Mytilus edulis: one gene and its partners. The protein of the gene in region 2 interacts with the protein of the main gene of each other region in a biochemical or structural test. Links are inferred from orthologs where the notes say so. Each region holds a gene or a part of one and is shown on either strand. Other genes may lie near its edges.

Evidence for each region.
Region 1: the proteins of ubiquitin-conjugating enzyme E2 S-like (region 2) and RING-box protein 2-like form a complex in vitro, tested with the Homo sapiens proteins (3 studies listed by BioGRID). The link is inferred for Mytilus edulis from reciprocal best matches to the Homo sapiens genes UBE2S and RNF7.
Region 3: of the proteins of ubiquitin-conjugating enzyme E2 S-like (region 2) and ubiquitin-like modifier-activating enzyme 1, one has a biochemical effect on the other in vitro, tested with the Homo sapiens proteins (8 studies listed by BioGRID, with this or other methods). The link is inferred for Mytilus edulis from reciprocal best matches to the Homo sapiens genes UBE2S and UBA1.
Region 4: the proteins of ubiquitin-conjugating enzyme E2 S-like (region 2) and anaphase-promoting complex subunit 2-like form a complex in vitro, tested with the Homo sapiens proteins (3 studies listed by BioGRID and IntAct). The link is inferred for Mytilus edulis from reciprocal best matches to the Homo sapiens genes UBE2S and ANAPC2.

Annotation. Positions count from the first base shown.
Region 1 is NC_092346.1:93,273,757-93,281,661, forward strand, and holds the start of RING-box protein 2-like, read right to left. Parts: upstream 3,022-7,905; 5' UTR 2,984-3,021; coding exon 2,842-2,983; intron 1-2,841. UniProt on the Homo sapiens protein: Catalytic component of multiple cullin-5-RING E3 ubiquitin-protein ligase complexes (ECS complexes), which mediate the ubiquitination and subsequent proteasomal degradation of target proteins.
Region 2 is NC_092352.1:76,826,631-76,833,793, forward strand, and holds the start of ubiquitin-conjugating enzyme E2 S-like, read right to left. Parts: upstream 3,003-7,163; 5' UTR 2,879-3,002; coding exon 2,870-2,878; intron 1-2,869. Other genes in the region: ADP-ribosylation factor-like protein 6-interacting protein 1, read left to right, coding at 3,229-3,285, 5,924-6,069, 6,937-7,053. UniProt on the Homo sapiens protein: Accepts ubiquitin from the E1 complex and catalyzes its covalent attachment to other proteins. Catalyzes 'Lys-11'-linked polyubiquitination.
Region 3 is NC_092344.1:46,512,418-46,519,934, reverse strand, and holds the start of ubiquitin-like modifier-activating enzyme 1, read right to left. Parts: upstream 3,018-7,517; 5' UTR 2,754-3,017; intron 2,587-2,753; exon of another isoform or gene 2,462-2,586; intron 2,368-2,461; coding exon 2,266-2,367; intron 1,130-2,265; coding exon 1,100-1,129; intron 1-1,099. UniProt on the Homo sapiens protein: Catalyzes the first step in ubiquitin conjugation to mark cellular proteins for degradation through the ubiquitin-proteasome system.
Region 4 is NC_092345.1:6,933,862-6,941,198, forward strand, and holds the start of anaphase-promoting complex subunit 2-like, read left to right. Parts: upstream 1-4,312; 5' UTR 4,313-4,341; coding exon 4,342-4,416; intron 4,417-4,546; exon of another isoform or gene 4,547-4,584; intron 4,585-6,974; coding exon 6,975-7,337. UniProt on the Homo sapiens protein: Together with the RING-H2 protein ANAPC11, constitutes the catalytic component of the anaphase promoting complex/cyclosome (APC/C), a cell cycle-regulated E3 ubiquitin ligase that controls progression through mitosis and the G1 phase of the cell cycle.

The DNA of each region.
Region 1 (7,905 bases), on a different chromosome or scaffold from region 2:
CAATTCTTAAAAGTAAACCGTTGTAGGCAAGGTACGGCCTTCAACAGGGAGCCATGCGGTCCATATTACATCACTGTAGGCCCAACCATGTCTAATATGTGTAGAACCCAAAACTGTATCATTTTGGATTCCATTTTCATAATTGTCAATCATCTCAATATTTTAATCAGAGTACTTGTAAGCATTGAAGGGTAAAGATAGCTTTAATGGTTGTCCAATTAGTTATAATTATGGAAAAAGAAGATAACTCCAACTTTAATGATTAGAACAGATATAACATGTAGAGAATGCCATTCTGTCCTATTTTGATTTAAATCCAGTCTAAACAAAAATACCCCTCTATAGAGAGATAATTGTACCCTCTATAGAAGGATTATCCCTCTATACAGGTATAATCACCATATAGAGGGTTTGTTCCCAACAAATCCGGGTCCGTTCGCGCCCATTCACGTTCACACCTACTCATGTTTGCACCCTACATGTTCGCACCCAAAGTCTGTTCGCACCCTACATGTTCGCGCCCAATTTTAACTGGTTTTGTGTTCAATAACTATAGCTTTGTAATCAAGTTTTGGCAAGTGTATTCTTATATTTGTTGTCATTGTCTCAAAATAAAGTGAGACAGCATTTTTTTTTTGTGTTGAATAAATCTTAATCATGTTTTGGATAGTGTACATGTATTGTTAAAAAAAAAATCCTTTCTAAATAAAGTGGGATTCTGTCAACGTTTTATTTTGTGTTGAATAACTCTTCATCATGTTTTGGTTAGTGTATTGCTATAACTTTGTTCCATTGACTTGTTTCAAAATAAAGTTAAATTCTGACTACGTTTTGTTTGTGTGTTGAATAAATTTTATCATGTTTGGTTATAATAGTGTATTGCTATATCGTCTTGGTACCTGTTTTGACGCGGACCAGAAATGACGCACCAATTTAGTTTTGGGTTTTATATTTCTAAACAAAAGAAGTGACGTCATCGATAATTACTATTCATAACATGATGGTGAAGGTCATATGACTACAACATAGATGCCTCAAACTCTGTCCAGAAATGTTATTATTGCTTGAATTAGTAAAGATAATGCAATTTCTGCCATTTTATTAAGGTCAAAAACAGTCTACCCTTCCCAGAATGATTATCAGTCCTAAATCCACTTTGGCCGGCAAAAGTATGTATGCACATGCTGCCCCAGTTTGTGTTTTTCAAATCATATGACTGTCATGTGACATGGTTTTACATTTAAGCGGGAATCACTGTAGAACAAATGATCGTCGCTTATATAATTTTCTATTGTTTATCGATTTTTTTCATTCATTGTACGAAGTATACATTGATAAATGTTTTAATGTCAATGTTGTTTTATGAATGCAATTACTTCTTATTTTCAAGTATATGGAATATATATGTCACTTTGATAAATTTTGAACAATTTTATATAAAATTTGAAATAAAATATAGGTTACAATTAAATTAATGAAAAAAATTGTGTTGCTATCAACATGATCATAAAAGTGACTGTAAATGTCAAAATTTGTTATTAAAATTAAATTTGTTGAATAGTGTTAACTTTAAATTATCCGGATTGAAGCAATTTTTCGAACATCAGGTACACTGCAAGTGGTTTTTACTGGTTTGTTTATAGTGCGTCATTACTGGTACCCATCATAAGTTGACAGTCCGTTTGTAATGTTAGCAAACATGATTTTTATTGCTTTTACTGTTTCAAAAATCAACTGTTTAATGATTGAAATACATTAACAAGTGATCAATCTTTCATTCTATTCCGTGTTTCTTTTTCTTTTAAATGGTAGATTAAATGCAGAGACAAACACAACGTTAGGTGCGTCATTACTGGTTCCTCGGGGATATTTTATTGTTTCAGATCAAAGGCACCAAGCTGTTAAAAACAATTATCTTTTGTGTTTTTCATTTAAAATCTTGAATGTTTTACTTACAACAAAGCAATTTATAACAACAATCATGATTTTCCAATTATTCACCTGGAATTTGAATTAAAATTCGGCGAGAACGTGTAGAGTGCGAACGGACCTTGGATGCGAACGTGTAGGGTGCGAAAGTGTATTGGGCGCAAACGAACCTGATACCGTTCCCAACCTGTTTATTCTTGATACCATAGTGATTAGTCCAGTAATCCCCTTTCCCCCCTAACAATATGTGAATATGGTTTGTTGAAGATTCTATCTGGTCGAAAATATCCGGCTGTGTTCAAAGTGTAATGTACTATGTATGTATGTACTGGTAAATGCCTCCGATATCCGAAGAACCCCTCGAAAGCTGCGAGGGTACAGTGGCATCCATGTACACTCCCTAACGGGATTAATGGAGATGTGTCACTAACGTATATTTATACGACAATTATTTTTACAAGGACAACCAATCCCCACCCAATTCAACACAAAGGGAGTGCTAGGACACCGGGAAGTCTGTTATTGTGGTGGAGGAAGCCGAAGTACTCGGAGAGAACCACCGGGCCACTCGGTGGAAACAGACAAACCAGAGAGATATCAGAAGATTGATCTCCAGGTCAAAGTAGGGACACTTTGACCAACCGAGGCCCCCAACGTACCCATTCTAGTTTAAACTCCGGTCTGGGTACCAGAGATGTGTGTGAGAGGGTGAAAATTACCCTTCTAATGTACTGAGATTTTTAGCACCCCGAGTGAGAATCGAACTCGGGACCTTCAGCACTGTAGCCATCGGTCTTAACCACTAGACCACGAACTCACACTTATATTTAAAAGAATTAGATTCAATAATTTTTGTTGTTGTTGTGTCATATCAAAATATTGCGACTTTTCTGTCAGATATATGTATCCTACCCATGACTTGGACACGACAAATTGCACAAGTATCACACTCAACATCCCAGCTCCACATAGCAACTAAATTCCATTTCTTAAGAGTGAACATTTTCTCTGGTTTCTTAGCAGTTTCGCGATCTACTTCCATTTCATCGGACATTTTATATTTTCTGTAAAGTGTTGATTTCACGTTTTTTCTCGCAAAAAATAAAAATGGATTTTCATATGAAACACATGGAAAACAAACATATCATCTTGCATATTTATCCATGCTACTAATCATGGCAAACGATATAAACCTAAATCCAGGTCCAGACACAACATTATTTCTATGTGGAACATGTGACGAACCTGTTACATGGGAAGACAAAGGTATCATGTGTGATACTTGTAACCAGTGGTACCATACCACCTGTCAATCAGTCAGCTCTCGAACATACAACATCTTAGTAGAGGACAGTGCAATAGCTTGGGACTGCCTTATCTGTGACTGTCCTAATTACAGCTCAGTTTGCTTTGACATAGTATTATCCACTTCAAATTCATTTAGCATTTTATCAGATACATCTCTCCAGAGTCCACTTCCATCTGACTGTATCAAACCTATTCACGCATCAACACCAGACAGAAAGAAGCAGGATAAAAGTCCAAAAAGTGTACCTATTAAGATGCTTACAGTAAATTTTCAGTCCATCAAATCAAAGCAAGGACTAATTAAGAACTTAGTTGAAAGCACCAAACCAGATATTGTCCTAGGAACAGAAACCTGGATAGATTCATCTGTAAAAGATAACCAGATTTTTCCACCAAATTATAACATCTACAGAAATGACCGCAACATGAAAGGAGGCGGGGTGCTAATAGCAATAAATCATGACCATCTAAGCACACCTGTACCTGAGCTACACACAAACTGCGAGATTGTTTGGGCTAAAATCAGTCTAGCTGGTAGTAAAGACTTGTATCTTGCATCCTACTACAACCCTAAAACATCAAATGAGGAAAGCATTGAAGAACTTGGGCGAAGTCTTGAAAAAGTAAACGCTACAAAGAATGCCTTTATAATTGTTGGTGGCGACTTTAACCTCCCTGGCTGGAACTGGATAACAAGAACCCTGAAACCAGAATCAACATGTCAGAAAAACCACTACAAGTTTGGCGACATTCTTGACGACAATGGACTTGTTCAACTAGTGGAGGAACCAACAAGAGGCCCTAACACGCTAGACCTAGTGATTACGAACAATCCAACACGCTTCACACGCACCAAAGTTATACCTGGGGTTTCAGACCACGACATTGTCTTCAGCGAAATAGACACCAAGCCTTTAACTAGAAAACAAAAACCACGGAACATCCCCTTATACAGGAAGGCAAACTGGGAAACCATCAAAGAGGAAATGATCCAAACCCACGAAAAGATCAGAAATCTAGCCTCAAATGGAAGTTCAGCGGAAGAACTCTGGTTATTATTCAAAACCCAGGTCAACCAAAGTGTAATAAACCATATCCCGCACAAGATAGCAAAACAGAAAGATAGCCTTCCTTGGCTAACACCAAATGTACGTAAACTAATACGCCGCCGTGACAGACTATACAAAAGAAAGAAAAAGTCAGTGGATCCTAAGATAACATCCAAATTCAAAGAAGCCAGGCAAAAAGTACAGAAAGAACTACGTCGTGCATATTGGAAGTATATAGAAAACATAGTAACACCTCAAGAAGAAACCCAACAACACAGCAATATGAAACGCTTCTGGACTTATATTAAACATATGAAGACTGATAGCAGCGGCGTGGCACCACTACGTAGTGACGGAGTACTACACTCGCATCCTGTGGACCAAGCTACAATTCTGAATAAGCAGTTTCAGTCTGCATTCTCCTCCAAGGAAACATATAGTCCAGAAAAATTCAAATCTCGCTGTAACATGCCAGGTCAATACCCTTCTGCTGAGGATCTAATTATTACAGAAAATGGAGTACTGAAACTACTTACAAAAATAAATCCAAATAAAGCTTCAGGACCAGACAATCTAAAACCAAGAATACTAAAAGAACTTGCAACTGAGATAGCCCCAATTCTAACTATCATCTTTACAACATCACTTAATACTGGGGAAGTACCATCTGACTGGAAGAACGCCAACGTAAGTCCAGTCTTCAAGAAAGGAGAGAGATACAAGGCAGAGAATTATCGACCAATATCTCTGACATGCATCTGCTGTAAACTCATGGAACACATAATAACTAGTCATATTATGAAACATGCAGATCTCCACAACATTCTATATCCATTACAACACGGATTTCGTAGCAAAAGATCATGCGAAACCCAGCTGATTGAATTTGTGGATGATATCACCAACAACATGAGCGCAGGTAAGCAAACAGATGTACTCATTATGGACTTTTCAAAAGCTTTTGATAAGGTTGGTCACAGTCTCCTGATGCATAAGCTGGAACACTATGGTATCCGAGGAAATGTGAATAAGTGGATTGCTAGCTTCCTGTCTAATCGAACCCAAGCAGTAGTTGTGGATGGAGAAAGTTCATCTCATATTGATGTAGAGTCAGGAGTACCCCAAGGATCAGTACTTGGGCCTTCACTATTCCTGTTCTACATTAACGACATGCCAGATGGAATTAAATCTACAGTCCGACTATTCGCAGATGACACAATAGCATACCTCACGATATCATCAGACAAAGATGCACACGATTTACAGCTAGATCTGGATAAACTCGGAATATGGGAATCAAAATGGAAAATGTCATTCCACCCTGACAAATGCAATGTACTTACCATCAGCAGGAAAAACAAAACAATTGCAACATCATACAGCCTACATGGTCAAATTCTTGAGTCAGTCAGTAGTGCAAAATACCTAGGCTGCACATTTACATCCGATCTCAGATGGAATGAGCATGTTAATAACATATGTAACAAGGCAAATCGAACAATTGGTTTCCTAAAAAGAAACTTAAATATAGGATCAACTACAGTGAAGGAGAATGCATATAAAACATTAGTACGTCCAATTGTAGAATATGCCAGTCCGGTATGGGATCCATATCTTAAGACAGAGACAGACAGACTTGAAATGGTACAAAGAAGAGGAGCTCGCTACGTATCCAACAAACATCATAACCACTCCAGCGTTAATCTGATGCTACAACATCTCAAATGGACATCACTTGATCAAAGAAGGAAAGAAGCGAGACTCACAATGCTATTCAAAATAGAAAACAACAAAGTGGCCATATCAAAGGAAGGTCGTCTAATACCACCGAAAAGACTGTCACGAAACATGCATGACAAATCCTTCCAAGTACCAGCAGCATCCTGTGACTATAGAAAACATTCATTCTTCCCAAGAACCATCCGGGATTGGAACGCTCTTCCCCCTGGGGTCGTATCAGCTCCGTCAGTCGAGGCCTTCAAAGCCTCTATGACAAAGCTGAATTAAATTTCAAAATTTTTGGGGGGAGGGGGGTGGTCTAATATGCGCACCAAACCATGGCAGTATAATCAGTTCGTTGATTGTGGCCATTATCTGGCAGAAGCAGAGAAGCAGAAGCAGAATCTGTATCTGTAAATGTATTTTATAACTTCTGCCACTCTAGGCACACCTCCACAGTCGGTGTATTCAATAAATCTCCACCAGTACAATAATACCATAATCGAGTAAAGTTAAATTCGCTAAATATTCACTTTTCTTTCACCTCCATCAATATATATTTAATTAAGTGCCAGTCTTTGTAAGAATCAGGCAATTTAGGTAAAAATTAAAACATGATCAGAAAAAACCCACCGAGCTAATCATGCTATTTAAGTGCCAGTCTTTGTAAGAATTAGGCAATTTAGGTAAAAATTAAAACATGATTAGAAAAAACCCACCGAGCTAATCATGCTAATTAATATTAACCTTTATCCTGAGTTAAAAAGTATTAGTCTTTCGTTTGTGTTTGTCTGGTAATATGGTGATACGGTAATAACTTGGTTAGAAAATTGGTTAGAATGATAGCTGTCATTAGCCAAAAATACAGCTGATCCTGCGGTATACATTTTAAGTGGATCTCTACCTATGGAGGCTAACTACATCTCTATACGGAAATATTACAAGAGCAGATAGATCTACCATTGAATGGAGACTAGCAGAAAGACAACTACATTTAAAGACAAACCAAAGTAATAGCTGGTTCATCCAAATCAAGAAAATATGTTTGAAATATGACATTTTGGACTGTCAGGATTTTTTAAATAACCCTTTAGGAAAATTGCAATGGAAAAGTTTAATCACCAAAAAAATACATACCTATTGGAATGACAAAATTAATAAAGAATCAGAGAAATACTCCAGCTTAAAATACATATCTGGTGAATATATGGCAAAAAGAATACATCCAATTCTTACAACAAATACATCAAATTGTAGAGACATAATCAAATTACCCATTAGGACCAGATTTGCAACTGGCAATTACATCTTACAGACAAATAGAGCAAAATTTAATCAAAATGATGTTTCTGCCGTCTGCAGAGTTTGCGGTAAAGAGGATGAAACCATTTCACATTTTCTGATTTCATGTACACCTTTAGAAGCTGAAAGAATGTCTCTCTTGAAATCTCTCCGAGAACAATATATCAAAGTGCTAGAACTACTAAACATTAATATGCATGATATAGATGTTGTTATGATATTGTAATTATTATGTTTATTTATGTTGGCCTAATTTGTGTTGTATGGCCTGATAGTTGTTTACCAAATAATCTTATAACTGTGCAGTTTAGGAATCACTGGAACAATCACAGAATGATTGGAACTTTCTAGAATGATCCTTATAAAAGATGCGTAATTTAAACTTCTACGTTATTCCAGAAACTTCCGTTGTAACTTTCCAGGATTTTCCACAATGTTCCATTATAGAGTGTTCTAGAATTTTCCATGACAACACTATATATACAGACACTAAAGTTAAACTCTCATAATTAAAACTTGGACATAGACATTGATAGTCATTAGTATTCACAGCATTTGGATTGACACTTTTATTCTACAAACAACATCATACTGGATT
Region 2 (7,163 bases):
ACAGCCTTCAACAATGAGCACACCCAATGTACATTTATATAATTAAGAATTTTAAAATTGACAACTTGAACATTCCTACATGTCCTACATTGTCCTATAACATGTATAAACATGATAAAGGGAAAATATCATCAAAATTTCATTATACACAAAAGTATATGTTTGGGCTACATGTACAATGTACATGTTCATTAATTCTACTCCCAATCATCCTGCTTAATTTCTCCAAAGCCAATGACACAGTGCCCCACAAGAGACTCCTCCAAAAAATTGACTACTACAGAATACGTAGAGTAACACTCAGGTGGATACAAGACTTCCTAACTTTTCCTAAGCAAGAAAACACAATCTGTATTACTCGAAGGTCATAAATCCAACCCCCTCAGGGGTGCCTCAGGGGAAGACCGCCTCACCATGGCCTACAAAATCACCAATAGATTGGTAGATATTGACCCCTTAAACTTATACAAACCCAGAGATTTACAGATCAGAGGAGGCCAGCGCATAAACCAACAGCATACATGTACTCTAAAACACCAGTACAGGTACTCCTTCCCAACACCAACCAGGGAATGGAACACACTACATTAGAAGAGTTCAAGGTCAGCCTTACCATCCTGCCAGAGGCCTTGACAGGAGCTTCTCACACCTAGAACTCTGTAGATCCCAGATGTTTATAGTTTTAATTTGTAAATAATAATTACTGTAAATAATTACTGCTGGTTTTAATAATTGAGGAGGGAAGGCCTCATGATTTTACGAGCAAGAGTCATTATACACTCAAGAAGAGTCAGACTCTGTATTAAAAGAAGAAATGAGACAACTCTCCATCCAAGTAACATAGAGAATAATACATGGAAAAATCCGTATCATATGTCGTATCATCCCGAGACACCAATATCAGCCCAAAGGCCTTTAGGCTTCCTTCAGTTCTACTTTTGTCTTGTTTAAAAAGCCTTAAAAGAACTGCTCAATTACTTATCCAAAGCACCTTGGTTACCTTATAATTTAAAAATATTTTGTTTATTATAATAATCATTGTATTTTTTATAGTTGCATTTAGTGTGACAAAAAATATGAAAACTTGACGTTTGTGACGTCACATGTACATACCGAACAATGACGTCATTCAATAAATTGTTACGCCAAATGACCGTACCTATTTTGAGGAAATTTTTTTCTTAAGCTTACAAAAATAAAAACTGACTATGTAGAAAAAAAGAAAAAAAGTAGGGGTGTGATAAAGGGTATGCGATAAAAGGTAAGGGTGTGATAAACATTGATAAAGGGTATGCGATAAAGGGTGCGCATCAAAGTTGCGCGATATGGATTAAACAGCAGGACAGCAGGCTATTTATCAAATATTCAAAACTACTGTATTGACTACTAAACATAATGATAAAACTATATATATTTATAGATATAGGAAGATGTGGTATGAGTGCAAATGAGACAACTCTCCATCCAAGTAACAATTTATAAAAGTAAACCATTATACAAATGTAGGTCAAGGTAGGGCCTTCAACAGGTTGGGGACAACCCACCAAATGGGGAACTATTTCCCAAATGAGTAACAATCCCTCATTTGAGTTATCATTTCATAGTGCAGAAAAATAAATTTTCTAAAAATGGGTCTTTTTTAACATGTTTTTAAAAGGTAAAATGGCACAAATTTATAGAAAATGGAACAACTTCTCCCAAAGAATTATATTTCTGTTATGGGTTTTTAAAAAGTTAAAAGCCTTGAAAAGTTAAATTTTCTGATTTTTCATAGGCTTGTATCTTCCCAGTAATTCAAGATAAGGATAATCATCTTTTGGAAAAGTTGATGCATTTTTCCTGAATATGTGCCATTTAAAGAAAAAAGAATCAGTTATTAATAAGAAAATTTTGTTTTTTAGCACTACCAAATGATTACTCAAATGAGGGAGTGTTACTCATTTGGGAAATAGTTCCCCATTTGGTGGGTTGTCCCCAACCTGTTCAACACAGGGTATACTTATAGTGTTCTCCTCATGCCGATATGACGCTGTGGTCCTGCAGCGCCTTAATATTTTTCTTAATTCCAGCAGTGCATTAATTAGCAGCTGTCCCTTAATATCTGGTCTTTTTATTTATAAATTTTTGAATTGTGAACTATTTAAGCTTTATGTTTAATTGTTAATATGTATTTATGAATATGTCTGAAAAACATCTCTTTAGTCTACAGGTATTTGAATAGAAAAGGGTGGTAACATGTTAGGTATACAGGAGGGTATGAATTTGTTTTGCCTTTGGGAGAGAACAGACCCAACATGTGATGTGAATAAATGTAGCATGTGAATGTGTTTTTTGCCTATGGCTTCGGGAGCGAACAGACCCTTTACCCTAAGAATGTAACTTGTAAAGTCTAAGAGACTTTAAAAATAAGTTACAATAAAAGTTACATGTTGATAAACCTAACAATTAACTGATTAATGAGGAATATAAAACTAAAATGACTGGAAATAGAGACATGTGGTGTAGATACTAGGTATCCAGTGGTCTTGCGACAGTACCCGTCTCGAACCTACCTCTACATGCCCTAGGCTATGTTTGTAACTAAAAAGGGGGGTGGTACATTTGTTTCACTGTCGCTTCCCCTTTTACTTGCAATTACGCAATATAACGTTTTTACTCTTGTCATGGTATTATTTCCTCTCTTTTAACTAGAAACCTAGATAATGAGTTCAGAATAAGATAAAAATTATTTCTTGGAAGATCAACGAAAAATCTGTGTATTTTTTTTTTGTGAATCAGTTTGGATGAAAACAAATCCATTCTTGTAAAAATATGTCGAATTCCTTGAATTAAACTGTGAGAAAATTGGATTGCAGCATATACCACTTACGTTCGACATTATTTTTGAGTTATTCTGTCCAAAATAAGTTAAGATATTTCTGTATAATGCGAATATCCTTTCAGAATAATTCAAAACGTCAGAATTTTGCTTGACCCAATTTCGAATTAAAATATGAAGTCTCGTTTACACGAGATGTAGTTTGAATTTAATTCAAATTTTGAGAAAATTAGTGGTACGATAAAATAATAACAAAACAGATAGAAATAAAGACAATATTGTTGCTTAATGAAATATCATTTTCTTATTTAAAAAACAGAAAAATTATTATTAAAAATTTGAGATGGATAAGTCTAGAGAACAATAAGTTTTATACGGAACACCTTGTGAGTCAACGTCCTCCGAATGCAATGCTCATTATAAACAAATCTGAGATGGCGGAATTTAATGATATGGGAAACGAAATGGTAAAGAAGTGCACTTACCATGCTAATTGTTATAGGAAACACTGATAAAAAATAGGGAGCACAGTTAAATCGATAATATATAAGATTTGCATAATGCTCTGTGACTGGTTGCAGAAAACTAACTTCAGATTATTGCTGTTTTATACCACTTTCATTTTTGCAGTACAAGTTATCTTCAAAATTGTGAATGCCTTTCAGCATGTTTAAAATAACTGAATGGGTACTTTTTGTCCATAATGTATAGGTAACTGTCTTCATGTCAATTTTTAGACAAAGATAAACAAGGACCATTAGAATCCATGACTAAGCCCCCCCCCCAACCTAAACGAATTCTAGTCAAATCGGCACCTGGTTAAATCGGCACTTGGTCAAATCGGCACCCAGTATAGTCAAATCGGCACCTAGTCAAATTGGCACCTGGTTAAATCGGCACTTGATGTAGTCAATTCGGCACCCATGTTAAATTTGTTTAATATATGATGTGTACAAAATATAACTTTGTACAATTTATAATTTGTACAGGGTTTTTGTACAAGTTATAAGTTTTTTGACACACATTTTCTTACACCAGGTGATACAAGTTTATCTTTAAAAATGTTCTAGTTCAATCTTTAAATTCAAATTTATATACTTTAACCTAACATTTCATGCTATTATCCTTGTCCTCACAATGGAAATGAGGATACCTGAATAGTTTACATTCGAATTTTAATTTCTCCTGATACCACATATGACATATATCCATAAAAAGTCTTTTTGTGGTCTAATTATGTTTGTGTATTAATTCTCGCTATTAGATTATATCATATAGTTGTGAAAATATGACAGAAATATGCGAAACAAAAGCTGGTGTTACATTGTGTTTTCACTATGTACTTGATTAAAGTTATTTATTAATTGAAAAGAAAATTTATCAAAACCATGAAAACATCAGTCACATAATGTTGAGAAAACTTTAAATGATCAACTTTTGTATTTTTACAGCTTGATGCTTTTTAACAAAATAAATCATGATCGAATTTATACATTTTTAGAAATATCTATATATATTTGCGACTATTATGCTAGTATACTTAAATTACTATCTTAGCATAATGGTCCCAGTCCCATATATTATATCAAATATTATTGGATGCCGAATTGACTTTAAATAGGTGCCGATTTGACTTTTTCTATGGGTGCCGATTTGACCAGGTGCCGATTTGACTTGTACCCACCTAAACGCCCCACTTTTCACATTTCACAAGAGGGGTGATTTTTTGGATACATGTACATGTACTATTGCTTTCGTGCAATCTGTAGGCTTCCACGCCTCATACAAAATGTTCTTCTGTCAACACTTTTACACCAAAAATAATAAATGAAAATATCAGCATGAAAACGTTAAATAGTGAATATATAATGCGAAGGCATATATTATAGGACATTTTACACCCCAATGAAGTTACAAAAAGAAACATTCAATTCTTAAATAAAAAGATTTTTCGTGTACCTCTTTGTTTACTGTAAAAAATATATATTTAATATAAAAAAGCTACTTATTGTAATTAAAGTAAAAATGTTTGTCTTTTTAGTAAGTCTTAATATACTAGTCTCTATTCATTAAAGTACAATTTAATGGACAAGAGAAATTTCAATTGGATGTTATATTAATATTCAAATACTGCCTACATGTATTCACAAGCCTCTAGGGTCTTTCAATAGATACAATTTTTAACCTTACTGTAAACATGAAAAATGTGTTAACTCATTTATTATTGCAAATTATATAAAAATAAAAAAATGTGGTATAATTGGCAATGACACAACTGCCACCAGAGACCAAATGACTTGGTAGGTCACTGTATGGACTATAATAATGAGCAAAACACATATCACATAGCCAGCTAATATGAGGCAGGCATTACATGTACCTGTGAATGGGGACGAAGTTTATTTAAATTAATTTTTGTAACTTTTAAAATATTTGTTAAAAAAAGAAACGGAAATACCGTAACGTTTCCGATTTTGGTTCTGTTGTTAGGGATTTTACTTGTGACGTTATTTAAGTTATGACGTCATGTTCAATGTAAACAAAGAAACGCAATGCATCAGGTAACGTTTATTCATACCCGTCCAAAGACAAAGAATGATTAAAAATGAAATATATATTTAGTATTGTGTTCCTTGAGTTCCTATATTTTACTAGACTAATCAAAGTCTCACAACAACAAGACCGGAAGAAGGAAGTAGAGTTATGTGTTCTGCGCAGATCCGGAAATTAAAAAAACGCGACAAAAAAAAATTGAACGATTTTGAGTTCATTAGTACAATGAAAAATTCGGGAAATTTTCCCGATTTTTTTTTTTATTGAATTTTCTACTGTAATAGGGGACTTCGTCCCCATATTAAAGGTCCAGAAATTACAAATGAAAAAAGATTCAAATGAGACAACTGACTTCCTGATTTATATACGTATATATAGTATGATATGTACATCAACAACAGACAACAACTTAATTACAGGCTCCTGACTTGGGACAGGCAAACATATATTTCAATTTTTTGACTTGCAAATACTTGAAAATATTAAATTAGGGGTTGTTAAAACAACAATTATATTAATGGTTCTCATTTAACTTGTTTGTTTCTATTTCAGGAGCAGAATAAAAGTGCTAGATTGGAAAGAATAAAAAAAGATTTGGAAGGATGGAAAGAAGTGTTGTTGCCTCTAAATGGATTAATTAACTGGGAAAAGCCATACCATCCACCAATTATTGTTGGTCTCAGTACATTTGTCTTCTTGTAAGTTTGTAAATTCAGTGTGACTTGGTTTGATATGATTTGATTTTTGGTGTTATATCGCCACTTATAAGCATCGCTTTTTTGGCTATTTCATGGCTGCCAGTTTATATTGGTGGAGGAAGCCAGGGAAAAAACACCTAACAATCCTTAATCAATTAATATTTGATTCCAGTAAATCTGCATGATTGGGGTTTTAAACTCACAACCTAAGTGTTGACTGGCTAGTGATTACAGTAGTAACAACTTGAACACTGGGCCATTACTGCCCCTCAGTTTGACTTGGTTTTGTACATTGGCAGATCAAAGTGTCATTTCCACTTCTGGTATAGTATTTAACAAGAAAATGAGTTGACCTTCACATGAAACATTAACCATATTGTGATTAAAAAATATTTGACAATAACTAAAAGGTAAAATATACAAGTTATCAATGTTGACAATGGTTGAGGTCTTTACCAAAAATGAAGTTATTCAGCATTGTTTTTGAAAAATTCAGGCAAAACAAATGTATGTACATGTACACACAAACCTGTGTTGTATCAACTATTTATTTATTATTATATTCTCATCATAGTCATTAGCATTTGCTGTTTACAAGCTTCTATAAAGAAGATCTTACAAAATCTGATTTTGGGGTCCATCACATCACAAAGCCCAGAAACCATCACACAATTCTTTTTGAAATTAAAAAAAAAAAAATAGTTAATTGAGTTGTTTCCCCTTTCATGTTTTTCAAATAGTATGAACCTTAGTTGGATGTGTGGTAATGCCAAACTTTTCCATATCAAAACACCATGATCAGGGTACAATTGAATTTTTATCTGTTGTTTTACATGTATAATGCATTGACTCTTTCTGTTTTTTCAGCCTGATTTGGTATTTTCAACCCTCCATTTTGACAACTTTTTCTTTGATTGGATTGGCTATAATCCTGATTGACTTCCTTGTCCCTATGGTTGGTCCAACTTTGATGTCATCTAGATGGTAAGTATACTACTAACATTGTGTGTTTATATGATAATCCCTCTTGAAGGTGATTTTTTGAACTTTATGTAACATTGTAATATTTGGCTTGACAATTTTCATTAATAAAT
Region 3 (7,517 bases), on a different chromosome or scaffold from region 2:
ACCGAAAGTAGTAAACGTGATCAATTGTTGATTTGTTTACAACCTCCTTTCAGTCATGATAATCGTTCCAAAAAGGATTTTATACATTTCCAACTTGATAGAAATGATTTTAAATTATTGGCCGAGACGTTTTATAAGGATAATGATTATGCAGTGAAATAATCATTGCAAATTAATTTTTGCTGTGATTCCTTGTTTAAAAAAAATAGAATCCAACTTTTGTTGAGGAATGACCCCCTGGAACAAACTGAAGAGAAATTGTGAACTAAATTTCTGGATTCCATGTCAGAATCTTTCATAATAATGGCCAATACAGTCAAATCATACAATAACTGCCAATCCTGCTGGTGCCTCAATCCCTTAAAAATCTGACTAAGTCAAAAGATGAAGCTAGTAATATACATCATTCGTCCATTGCTTTTACACGAAATAAGGTTGATTTTAATAGCGCGCAAAAGTGACTAAAGCCCTCAAAATCCTAGCTTAAACACTGCATAAGGCATCTGTACATAATGTATGAATCATCCCGTTCATCCATTTTCTGACTGATAAATCTTTACACAAATAGTTTACACCCCTGTTGTATTAGTATCCCTATTTATTCCAATTAGGACATAGATCAGACCATTATCTGTACATGATGTAGGCAGAGAGAAAAATATCAAGACAATTTTTAGTAAGTGATGAAAAGGTTATTGAAATGAGTAACAACATATGTCCTAGCCATTTATTCTAGGATAACAACAGACAGTCTGTGCCTTTAACCAAGCACCATGGCCAACTCTTGTATAAATTGACTCAGGCTAGTGATCATTTAACGAAATTATGTTTACTTATTTAGTGAAAATGTTGGAATTTCTGATTCAGACTAGTAGCTGGAAATGTTAAGATTCTTTGTTGTTTTCATAATACGGTTCTCATGAGGAAAAGCACCAAAGAAGCACACTAAATACAGAAGCTGGATGGGTACAAAATGAAAATTCAGCATGTTCAAAATAAGATTTTGAAGAAAACAGAAAACAAAGATAAAAGTTTTATTTTTTTTCCATTTTGCCACCCAGTCATGACAGTGCTGCAGTGATATAAAGGGCAAAAGTACCTTTACTGGCTTTGATCCCATTGTAAATCCCTATCAACAAAAATAAGATTCAATCATTACATTCTACTTCTTCTTCGGTAGGGGACTAAAAATTTAATTTTTACATGTACCTATCTACTACTATTTTTTCTGAAGTAGGCAGGAAACAAGTAACTTTGTTTTGGCCTAATCAATGAGCTGTAAAGGACATGCAAAGTTAAAAGTGTTCTATATTCTACATGTTGCACTGCAGGAACAGATCCCAACATTTTGCCAGGGAGTTTTAACTCCTGCAACATCATGAAACATTTGAAATGTTCATATTTTAAAAAAAAAAAATGGTAAAAGGGGAGTGGAGTTCCATTCAAGGGAACACCCCTCTTCCCCAATTTGGATTCGCCAATTGCAATGCACTGAAAAACAAAGGCTCCATCTTCAAATGTTTGTAGGCTATCAATTCAATCAAGTAAAATTCACCAAAATCAAGTGTGTTTGCAACTGAATGAACTGTCTTCCAATTTTTAGTTTCAGACTAAGAGATTGTTTTTATATCATGTATATGGTAAATACTGACAATAAGTTAACAACTTCAAAAATGAGGTTCATGCAAGTCAGAGTAAAACTTTTGATGTTGCTGAACTCAAAATTGGTGTATGGAGCTCATGATGCTATTACAAAAATGTATGCATGGTACATTCGACACGAGGGTACACTAGCTTAAAACATTATAATAATTTTTAGTATTCTGTGCACATGCATAAAATCCTATGTAGAAACTAGCTGTCAACCCTTTTAATGATCACTATCAACTTGATACAATGATAGTGTTTTTTAAAAGTGGTCTCTACCTGTAAGATACCTGTAAGATCGTTGTGGGGCTCATATGGAAGGATCCTTTCTTTTTTACTTTAGCCCACCATATTTTGATACACTTTCAAAACTGATACAATCATCAATCCTGCATGATTTGGTGCAATATTTCACACAATTAAAAAGTTATATAGAAAACTATTTGTGTCCTCATCAATTTCTTAACTAATACATGACTGACTCCAAATGACAGTCTATACTAATTTTAAAAGCTTCTCTGAAAGTAAAATATAAAAAAATCTCGCTCACTTTCAGGAAATTATTGATCCATGCATATTTAACGGAAAGCTATTTTTCGTCTTTTGAAATATACTCACTTCTTTTACAGAGTTTGAAGCGGAATTTTCACTATTATTTTCTGTGTTATTTTGTCTCTGTTTCTTGGCAGGAGGACCCTCAGAATCCGTGCAACTGGACATCTGGTAAAACACAAAGAAAATACAACTGCAGAGTAATTTCAAGCATAAATCAAAGATTTTTAATACAATTTGGTCTTTGCTGTAACTGAAATACCTGTCTAAATCTAAATTTAAAGGAAATCTAAAGGAACTAAGATGATTTTGAAGTTGCAGACGAGTTTCAGCGCCACAAAAATGGCGGAGGTTACGGAAGCCTACACGTGCGGAAGAACGATCACTCGGGCCTTTACCTCAGTTAACACCCAAAATAAATTTTTTGACAGGCCAAGTTTCATAATTTTAAAATGACATGATTCCAGAAAGAAAAAAAATGTTACAACTATGTACAATAAAACAGTATGAAGATCATTCTATAAACGAGATTAAATAATAATATATGAACAAACCAACAAGTGGGTTCACAACATGAACATCCGACTTGCATGAGCGGCTTTCTTCAGTTTCGATGATATTTGACAGATTTTCTTCTACCCGATGAATTATAAGTCTTCTATGTTGGATCTTAAATAAATAACAATATGAAAATTGCTATCGAAAAGTCTCGAACAAAGACACTATCAAAAGAAATGAGTCAACGATTACGGTGATTTCCAATAATATTTCTGACATACAAAGTACTTCCTGTTTCTATGTCACTCCCCGGGAATTCTGGGAAATATGCAAATTTGAGGCCAAAGGAGAAAACGAAAGTAAAACAAGGACCTACACGTGTCAACACCCTCAGTCAACACCTCGAATAACATAATTCAAGGTTTTTGCTTCTCAAACAGTTTCAACTTTTCAAAATTTTCATCAAAATCGACCACAGGTTATTGCAATGATTTCATAATTGCGACGGGATAACTTTTTCAAAAATAAAACTGATCATTTTAATTTTATGTAATTTAGCAAGATTCACAAAAACCTAATTATAATAATTATAAATCTACTTGTTTTAATAGATAAGTACAATAAAAATAGATTTAGATTAAAATAAAATTTCCATATTAATATTATCATTTGCTTTACTAAAACAGAAAAAAAACAAGGACAGTAGACTTTAAAATGAGGCAAAGCATGCCCTGGGTGACCCTTTATCTAACTGTGATATACCATATACTGATTTTAAATCTAATATTAGAGAATATGTTTTTAATATTTTGAAAAATGAATGGAGTAAAAAAGATGATAATAAATAACATGAAATTAAAGCTAATTTAGGCAAACCTTTTAATAATTTTATGTGCAGAAAAGATCAGTGTGTTATTTCTAGATGTCGTATTGGTCATACTAGAATAACACACGAGTATCTTTTAAAAAATGAAGATGAACCACAATGTGTATCTTGCAACTGCAAGTATACTATTAAACATGTTTTAATTAATTGTATTGACTATACTGATATTCGTAAGAAGCATTTCAATGTCAATAATATGTATGATTTATTTAATAATGTTCCATTTACAAATATTGTTGCATTTTTCAAAGAAATTGGAATTTATTATAGAATATAAAAATGTTATTATATTTAAGTCGTTTTTAATTTTTATAACGTTATCTTACTGTTGATTTTTATTTGTAAATAATCAATTTGCTTTAGTCTAGAATTTTAGTATATTGAAGGACTTTTTGTCTTATTTTAAAAATATATACTTTAAATTGATACATACTACTCCCCTTTACAGGCAACCAACAATCAATCAACTTTATAATGAGCTTTGTGTAAAATTGGTTCAAAATGTTGGTATACTATATGCCGATATGCGAATAAATCTGGGAATACCAAATTAACTTTATCAGAGACATTTGTATTATATTATATGTCTCTGACTTCTTTCAATTCTTCATGTCTTTATTGCTGGTTGTATACCTCTGTTGGACTAAATCAGAGCAATTTGGCCAAAAGTACCAAAACAAGAGTCGCTGAACTGATTGCTATGCTGAAGTTAAGTCAAGTTATTAGGCGAATTTAAACGGATGCTAACATTGAGTGTTAATTCATCGAGAAGACCGCAAATACATATACAAAAATCTAGACCACCTTTTCTTAAAATTGTAATTAAAATAGAGTAAAAATATCTGAACGGATAACCTTCTCTGTAATTAAATTATCTAATTTTTTTTTATTGTTATCATACGCACACGTCCGTGTCCTTGTCGTTTCTATATCGGAAAGTTCACTCAACAGGAGCAGTGCGGTGTTTGAGACTACATATCAACGCAGTGTTGGTAAAATTATATATAGATATTTCATTTTATCGAAAGTCAATGCCTACGTAGTTATAAACTAAACCAAGATGATTGGGTCTGCACATGATAAACCACATTCAATTCACTGGCGTAGCATATATGTTCTTATTCCAGGGCCGTAACTACCTATGAGGCAACTGCCTCCCCTGAATTTTCTGCACCATTTTTTTTTTAAAGTAATAAAATGAAATATTGACAATATGTACAAGAAAAACTTGAATTTATATCATAAACAACACAAGTTTACAGTTTTAACAGTGTTATCATGATTCATGATAATTATATCTGTCATTGTCTGGATTTTTGATTGATTGTGAACCGTTTCAGTATGTTTTATTTTTATTTTTTCGTGTGGCCGTCCGTCTGTTATTCAGTATTCGTACGAGAACACATATGAAATTTTGCTTTCGACAATTTTGAATAAAACCTTACTATTCACATTTATTTAGGGGCTCAATTAAGCAGAGGAAATTCACTTTGTATTGTGATTCTTTAATGATATCGGAAATTCGTTACCGGCTGAATCAGCTGTTGGATAATTTTTTTAACATCTCCCGATCATACTAGAACATTATGGTCAATGCCTTAGTTACTTAGTTAACACTCCCATTCGTTGTAGCAGGGACTTTCTATACTAAGTATATACTAGTATAGAAAGTCCCTGGTTGTAGTTTATACATGTCTGTCCAGCTTTCAACAATATTGAAATTCAAGGTTCTCGATAAAAAAAAAATATCTTGCGTTCTATGATCTTGCTTTATATGTTTTTTTAACTTACCAGTTTGATTTCTTACAAAAATATCTTTAAATACAGATAATAATTGTTTGCATAAAATTGCTTCAAGGATCCAGCAATACTGATGTTTCTTAAAGTAAGGAAATCGAAGGAAAACGGGTAATTTTTAGCCATTTTAACTGAGAGAGAAAAAAAAATCGGCGGATCTAGGGGGCCTCAATCGGCGGCCCCCAAATCCCTGCCTCCCCTGAATTCGAACCCTAGTTACGGCCCTGTATTCTGATGGTTTAAGTATTATCATCGCTGTCATGTATCTAGGTGTACAACTTTTTTTTTAATGTAAAGCTAAAAGAGTAATACTATATTTATTGGCTACTATATAGTGCCTGCGTTATAAAATATCAATTCCTATAAACTACATATTCGCTAATGTTAAAGTAATCTTTTTGAAAAGCTTAAACTTATGAAAAAAATCGTATCCCATTTATGGTAACAATGTCATAAATAAAATTACATGGGCGCAGCCATTTGTGAAGGGAACATGACATAGAGATAAAAATAGATGGCTTTCTGTGATTGGTTGTTACATCATTTATATATTTTTCTTCTGAAAAGCATTTTGAAGAAAGTTTCATGCAAGCTCAAAATTGACCTCAAATGTATATGATCAGGGCCAGAAATGTTTTTTTATGCTGTTCCAAATTAAGGAAAATTTTTTGCGAAATCGTAAGGTATCGTAAAAAAACAAATCACCATGGGATCATATATATATTTAATTTCAATTAAATCACAAGTAGATATCGACCTCCAATAAGACAACAGATGTTTTTCCATAAAAAGTTTATTCAAAGAGCCATTTGAGGACATAATTGCTAAAAATAGCATTGCCGGCAATTTGGCCAACATTTGGTACTTTATATTCTAAAATCTCCCGGTGCTTGTCCATGGCGTCTTAAACAAAGGGAGATCATCCAATCATTCCACAAATAACTGCTAGTCTTATGAGCTAATAAAAGGGGATTTTGTTCGAAACATTACTTTCATCATTATTTTATGCCAAGTTCATTGATTTATTTATTTTTCAAACTTGAAAATTAACCCCCAAAAAACACGTTCGAAATTTGAAGCCTGCTACAAAAATAAGGTGTACGCAATTTCTTATAAAATAGCCTGTTGCACTTCAAGATAAGGTGTACGCATTCATTTTTTTATAGAAAAGTTATGGATTTAAGCCTCTTTTTTTTTTTGGTATTTTTGTTGTTTTTTTTGTTGTTTTTTTTTTCAGTCGGGAAGGAAAAGGGCTGCAGTTATAATATATGGAAACAGAACTATAGATAAACTAAACTAATGACAACAAATTCAGATTCTTTTTGAAAAATGTGTGTGGCTCTGAAAAGAACCGTTTTTTGAAGAAGTCTGGTGCTTTTCCTCTAGTCATACATCTCAATGTCTGCTGAAGAATCTTCTGAAATAATGTCGACAACTTCACCAAACAGTTCTTGTCTCAGTTCGGCTACGGATTCTGCTTTCTGGTGAGCGTAGTCGTAGTACATGTTGCGCATTCCATCAACAACTGCTATGCGTAGACGTAGCGAGTATCTGAAAGACTTGTTGTTGTCAGTCTTGGCTCTGTTGTACCTCTTTTGAAGTGCGTCTAAAGAGTAGTTCAATTGGACAATCTGTTCACAGGCTCTCTTGAATCGACGTTCGCTCTCAACCAATTTGGTCCTCTTGTTGAGGTTTCTCATTTGTACTTTAGCTTTCATGATTAATAAAGAATATGTAGTAGTTGTTAGCACTATAAGAGTTGAAACAAGTTCTGATGATTCTTTGGAAAGGATTGGTTATATAGCTCTTCTAGTGACACCTGAAATTGAGAAACGTCAGGGTAATGACATCATAGAGTAATTAATTTGAGTTTCTAGTTTAGGCACGAGTCCATTGTCAAAACAGTCTCGTGTCGTGGGCTTGTGTGTATTGTCAAACATCTTTGTCTATTAATCATGATTTATTGTAATCCAATCATGAAGTTGATTAAATCATCTTATAATTTAATAAATATAGTTCGTGTATTGCAATTATTTTTATTTCAACTAAAAAATTATTTCATTTGAAAAATTAATGAAAAATAAACGGAATGAATTATTGCAAGAAAAACGATACACAAAGAAACACGTTTTTTTCT
Region 4 (7,337 bases), on a different chromosome or scaffold from region 2:
CCGTCGTCGTTAACTTTTACAAAAATCTTCTCCTCTGAAACTGCTGGGCCAAATTAAACCAAACTTGGCCACAATCATCATTGGGGTATCTAGTTTAAAAATGTGTGGCGTGACTCCGCCAACCAACCAAGATGGCCGCCATGGCTAAAAATAGAACATAGGGGTAAAATGCAGTTTTTGGCTTATAACTCAAAAACCAAAGCATTTAGAGCAAATCTGACGGGGTAAAATTGTTTATCAGGTCAAGATCTATCTGCCCTGAAATTTTCAGATAAATCAGACAACCCGTTGTTGGGTTGCTGCCCCAAAATAGGTCATTTTTAGGAAATTTCACCGTTTTTGGTTATTATCTTGAATATAATTATAGATAGAGATAAACTGTAAATAGCAATAATGTTCAGCAAAGTAAGATCTACAAAAAAGTCAACATGACCAAAATGGTCAGTTGACCCCTTAAGGAGTTATTGCCCTTTATAGTCATTTTTTGACAATTTTTCGTGAAGTTTTGTTATCTTGTACAAAAATCTTCTCCTCTGAAACTACCGAGACAAATTTAACCAAACTTGTCCACAATCATCATTAGGGTATCTAGTTTAAAAAATGTGTGGCGTGACCCGGCCAACCAACCAAGATGGCCGCCACAGCTAAAAATAGAACATAGGGGTAAAATGCAGTTTTTGGCTCATGACTCAAAAACCAAAGCATTTAGAGCAAATCTGATAGGAATAAAATTGATTATCAGGTCAAGATCTATCTGCCCTGAAATTTTCAGATGAATCGGACAACCTGTTGTTGGGTTGCTGCCCCTGAATTGGTAATTTTAAGGAAATTTTGCTGTTTTTGGTTATTATCTTGAATATTATTATAGATAGAGATAAACTGTAAACAGCAATAATGTTGAGCAAAGTAAGATTTACAAATAAGTCAACATGATTGAAATGATCAGTTAACCCCTTTAGGAGTTATTGCCCTTTATAGTCAATTTTTAACCATTTTTCGTAAATCTTAGTTATCTTTTACAAAAATCTTCTCCTCTGAAACTACTGGGCCAAGTTCATTATCAGGGGCGGATGCAGGAATTTTCGAAAGGGGGGGGGGTGCTAACCCAGGGAACCCAGGGAACCCAGGGCAAAGGGGGGGGGGGGGGGTTCAAAACATATGTCCCGATACAAATGCATTGATCGGCAAAAATAAGGGGGGGTGCGCACCCCCGGAACCCCCCCTCCCCCTGGATCCGCCACTGATTATAAATAGAGATAATTGTAAGCAGTAAGAATGTTCAGTAAAGTAAGATGTACAAACACATCACCATCACAAAAACACAATTTTGTCATGAATCCATCTGCGTCCTTTGTTTAATACTCACATAGACCAAGGTGAGCGACACAGGCTCTTTAGAGCCTCTAGTTTTTGTTGCTGTGCAAGCAACTGACTCTTTACAGCGGTAGAAACCAGATCATGGCAGTCACTTATCATGACAAGTTAGAAAAATGTATTGCGGCGGGTTATATAATTATTTTTTATCGCCAAAACGACATAAATAAATGAAATAAAGTTAGTCTGCAATCTTTTTTAAAACAAGTTGGATCTTTTGCTAATTGATCTTTATCAAAACTATTCCAGAGATCACATAAAGGTTGACATTTGTCAGAATATAACATGTCAAGGTTAAAATTACCAAGCTCATTATCACATTTAAAAATGATAACATCTTATACAGTAATTAAAAAAAACTATTCGGAAAAAGTATTTGCAGGCGTGCACTAAAGGTTAATACACTACCAACTATTTATTATGATTTAAGTTCACCTCTATTGTCTTACATGTTATCTGCTGGACGGAATATCTGTTGTTTATATGATGGAAAGAAGACCAACGCCGCCGGAATTTCTATTAGTCGTCGATAAAGTTTATACCAATCAGCTTCAAATATAGCCTGGGGTCCTGGCTAATCTTGTCAGTATGACGCGCAGCTAGATTGGGCCGGATCCCAGGCTACTTCAAATAAACTATCATAACACGATATATAAAAAAGAAGATGTGGTATGATTGCCAATTAGACAACTCTCCACAAGCGACCGAATAACACTGAAATTAACAACCATTGGTCACCGTACAGCATTCAACAATGAGCAAGGTCCATACTGCATAGTCAGCTATAAAAGGCTCCGAAATGACTATGTAAAATAATTCAAACGAGAAACTAACGGCCTAATTTATGTACAAAAAATATATAACACATAAACAAACGACATGTACAACCACTGAATTACAGGTTCCTGACTTGGGACAGGCACATACATACATAATGTGGCGGGGTTAAACATGTTAGCGCCGGGGATCCCAATCCTCTTCTAACATGGGACAGTGGTGTAACAGTACAACATAAGAACGAACTATAAAAATCAGTTGAAAAAGGCTTAACTCATCAGATGAATAAAAATACAAATACTACAAATACAAGTTAGCATTACAATGACAATTCCGACCCATATATACCTGGCAGTTCTTTCTCTTGCGAGTACAGCTGTTTCCTGTTATTTACGAGGGTATGAATGCTCCCAGGCTTGTTTTCGGCTACCATTAGCGTCAAATTGGTTACTATTGGCTTTACATTGTATCATAGTTCAAATTATTCGTTCAGTGTTTGTTTTAACCTGTGTTAATTTGTCTTTTTATTGTGTTAGGCCATTTTAATTGATATTTTAGTGTGTCTTCCTATGTTGTGATGTTACACTTTTGTTTCAGATAAAGGTGAAGGTTGGTACCTATTTAAAAGTTTAAACCCGCTGCCTTTGTTTGCATCTGTTCTAAGTCAGGAATTTGATGTTCAGATTATGTCGTTTGTTGATGTGTTAATTTAAACATATTTTATTGTTCAAAATGACATAAGGATCAGACACAAGTTTTACAACTTAGTAGCGTCTTCTCCGAATGATGTGTTTCATAGGAGTTTCTCGTTTCTCGTTTCTCGTTTTTATATATAGATTGGACCATTGATTTTCCCGTTTGAATGGTTTTACACTAGTCATTTTTTGGACCCTTTATAGCTTGCTGTTCGGTGTGAGCCAATGCTCCGTGTTGAAGACAGTACTTTGACCAATAATAATTTCCTTTTACAAATTGTGACTAGGATGGGTAGTTGTCTCATTGGCACCCATACCACATCTCCTTACAACTAATTCAGGTGATATGGGGATCTTCGCCATTTTGGATTGTATATAACGGAGAACCTAAGGTCTAGATTTTCAATCAAATTAGCAAAATTTGGTGAGGAATGCAGATCACTTATAATGTGAATTTTCATTTAAAAGAATAGATTTATAATATTTCAACTGATACATATTTTTTTCAACAACTCGGAAATAGTGTATTTTCTGATAGAACTTTGGCAGGTGTCATCTGACCTTGACCTCATTTTCATGGTTCGGTGGTTATAGTTAAGTTTTTGTGTTTTGGTCTGTTTTCCTCATACTTTATGCAATAGGTCTAATATATTTGTTGTATGGAATGATTGTAAGGTGTACATGTCTAGCGGGCAGATGTCATCTGACCTTGACCTCATTTTCATGGTTCAGTAGTCAAAGTTTAGTTTTTGAGTTTTGGTCCTTTTATCTAATACTATATGCCATAGGTCAACCATATATTTGGTGTATTGAAATATTTTATGATCTTTATTTCAGTTGGGCTTGTTTTATTTGAGCGTGACCTCAATTTCACGGTTCATTGTACAGTGTTACGTTTTTGTGTTTTGGTCTATTTTTCTTAAACTATAAGTAATAGGTTAACTATATTTGTTGTATGGCAGCATTGTTAGCTGTACATGTCTGCCCGGCATGGTCCATCTGACCTTGAACTCATTTTCGTGGTTTATTGGTCTCGTTTAGTTATCTTGGTTAATGTTTAGTTTATGTGACAGTTGTAATAAAGCTTTATACTTAGGTCTATCAACATAATATCAATGATAAGTAAAGAAGGGGAGACATTTCAGTGTGTGCACTCTTGTTTTTATATAAGTTGGTATTTTTTAAACTTTATTTTGAATTAAAAAAAAAAGTTTGCAGGTGGAAAATATAGTATAGATATCAATAAAAAAAATCACACGGCAAGTACACCACTCCTTGAAATTTTCTCTTCCAGACAATATGATGAAATTTTCTCTTTCCAGACATATGATGAAATTTTCTATTTCCAGACATATGAAAATCAGTAATGATAACTGTTTGTTACATTGAAATCGAAAATTCAGAAGTTGAAAACTATTTTTAACTTTTTTTTGTATTCCAAACCGTTCCCGGAGCCGTAGCAATAATTTTTACCCAGATTGGTCAATAAGCCAAGATGGCGGCAAATGTTGAACTTGTAAACAGAGCTTGGACTGTTTTAACAGACACTTTGACACCTGGAGAAAAAAAAGTAGCAATTCTTTTTAGAGTTAAAATATTTGCCATCCTTTTACTTAGGGGTCAATTTACTTTACGGTGTTGGTAAGGTTTCGGGGGTAAGAGCCGGTGTTATCTGGTTTAGATCTGGTTATGGTTGGGGTTTGTTTTCTAAAATATAAATCTGTCTGTATCTGTAGTGGTACGTGTAGAATCCTTTTTAGGCTTTTATACACGGTGGAGAAGAGTGCTGTTGTTATGGGCAGTGTTCTTGTAGAGCGGTCTTAAATGCTTCTACAGAACATGCATGCACAACTTGTTGGTTCCAGTGAATAGTTGTTTCCACAAAAAATTAATGTTTGTACTGTGGTTTGTTGCCGGTAGGTCGTTTCACCACCACACACCGCCAAACACCACTGAACACCCCAAAAGTTTATTATTTTGTCTTTTAACGTTATAAATGTGACTTAAATATAACTTTCAAGTTATTAATTCAACAAATCACAAGATTTAGAGTTCAAATATTAATTGTTTCTTCTTCTTCTATCTCTATAATAGTTGTACCAATAAGGCCAACTAAAATTAATTAGTAGATTTACATCCAGATTTTAAAAAAAAACTGGGGTGGGTGGGAGGATTTTATTTTTTAAATTTTATTTCATACGAAACCCTCTTGTGTCCAGTTATTAATACCGCAGGGCGTATAGGCAAGTGTTAAATAAGCTTATATCATGTACATAATTTTTCAAACTCTTGAATAAATATCTCTGATTGGCAACCACTGTTATACATGTAATTACAGCTTTAGAAACTGGCCTATATATAAACATAAAAAATGTAGAGAAACATGAGAAATGCTCTCTTCAGTTGGACTATACCAACACCAAATTCATTTTGCTTTCTAAGCCATTGTGTGTAGTAGTACAAATGTAGGCAACACATGTATTATGAGTACAGAATAAAATGAAAACTCAAACAGTGTTGAAAGTAATAGGTTTGGTGCTAGAGCAAGATATTGTAAATCATGAACTTAACCAAAAAGAAGTTGTTGTTTAATAAATATATTGAGGGTATTGGGACAGAGGGTGTTTGCTGTTTATCAACAAAAAACGACAGCCATATAAGGTAAATGTAAAGGCTTGCTGTAATGACATGCGTATGATTGTAGACTTTTGTTTTAGCTCAATTACATACGGTCATAAATCTAACAAGTTAGTGCTTATGTCAATTTCTTTAATCCCTTCATGATTTTGTACCAATGTGTTCCATGACTCTTGCCCTTTGGATATGCCCTTTGGATATCATTCACAGTCCAATTTTCTGACACAAAGTAATTGTATAAATAAAAATAAAAACAGTTTTCTAATCATTTGTGACACACTGCCATTTGCGTTCTTAGACACAGCTTTTTACTCGTAATCCGAATATTTCATGCCTTTCTCGTATTCAATCTCTATTCTCGGTAGATAATGATGTCATCATAGAGCAGCAGAATATGCCGACTTAATCATTTGAGATAACTTGAAGGAATACAACACCAAAATTTGAAACAGGAAGTTTGAATGCAACGAAATTATAAATGGTTACCGGTAACGGACATGAAAAAAATTCGGAAATCGTAAATTTTTTAAATAAAAAAAATCGGGGCGGGACGATTTCAGAGGGGCGGCTGGGATGAAAATCTATCAATTAATTTTAATTGGCCTAATAAGAAAAGAGACTTATGTCAAAATCTAACCGAGAACAGAGATCGAAGATACTTCAACTTATTACTTATTATGAATACATTTGAATTTTATCATTTTAATAAAATACACAATGTAATCTGGAAGGTGATGAATCCAGAGACATTTTTCCTTGTATTGATTATCGATTTTAACACAAAAATGATGCCTATAAAAATCTACAAATTGTTTAATTATAAGTGATTAATAATTTGTTTTATCGTTTTATTGTATAATATCACAGTTTCTCATAGTGGTTGGTGGTTTTTGGGGTGTTCGGTGGTGAAAAGACTCACCCGTTTGTTGCTAATTGATACTTTAAGTCCTCTGGTGTTATTGTTTACTTGACGTTCAATAATATTGCCATATGTGTGTGTTAAATATATCATAATGTAATCGTTCTTTACAGCGATATGGTCTAGGATATATGACCCTAAAATTATAGTTTGGTATTCTTTCTATTTAACACATCATACATGTCATAGTTGAATTATGGGGACCCAGGGGTTGTGGGCTCCCTTTATGTACACATACTATGATGTAGCTACAAATTTATTATGACAATGTACATACATTGTAATTTTAATTGTTACCTGTTATACACCTTATCACTTAAGGCTTCATTAAAATTTTGGCATCATAATACAAAATATCTGAAGCCACAATGGAAAAATGGTTGTTACATATGCAAAATATATGTTCAGACTGGCACAGATCTAAAAGTTGTTTAGTTTGCGAGCAATCTGTGGAAAAAAATTCAATGTAAAAAACAATTACATTACTATTTGAAATGAAAAAGTTTTGAGTTGATACAAGGGTGTCATATATATTCAACCTTTATCTTACTTTATTTATTTGAATTTTTCAGACTTCCCAGGCATATATCAGTTCAGAAGTTGAATTCCAGAATGCTGTTGAAATTCTATGCAAGCAAGATTTAGGACACATCATAGAGGAATGGTTTCTGGATACTTTACAAGAAGATTTGCGACAAAAAGTTGGTCCACAGTTCTGGAACTACTTTTCTATACAGCCAAGTGAAACAGACCAACTTCTTGAAGCAGTTGAATATTTACATAAAGTGACAATGGACTATCTCCCCTGTATTCAAAGACTTGAATCCACAACCCAAATAAAACGTTGGAGGAAGTCATCCACCTTATTTAATACATCCTCATTGACAGAAGCTTTCATACTTCTAATGAAATCAACATTGTTTTCCATTTTTCCT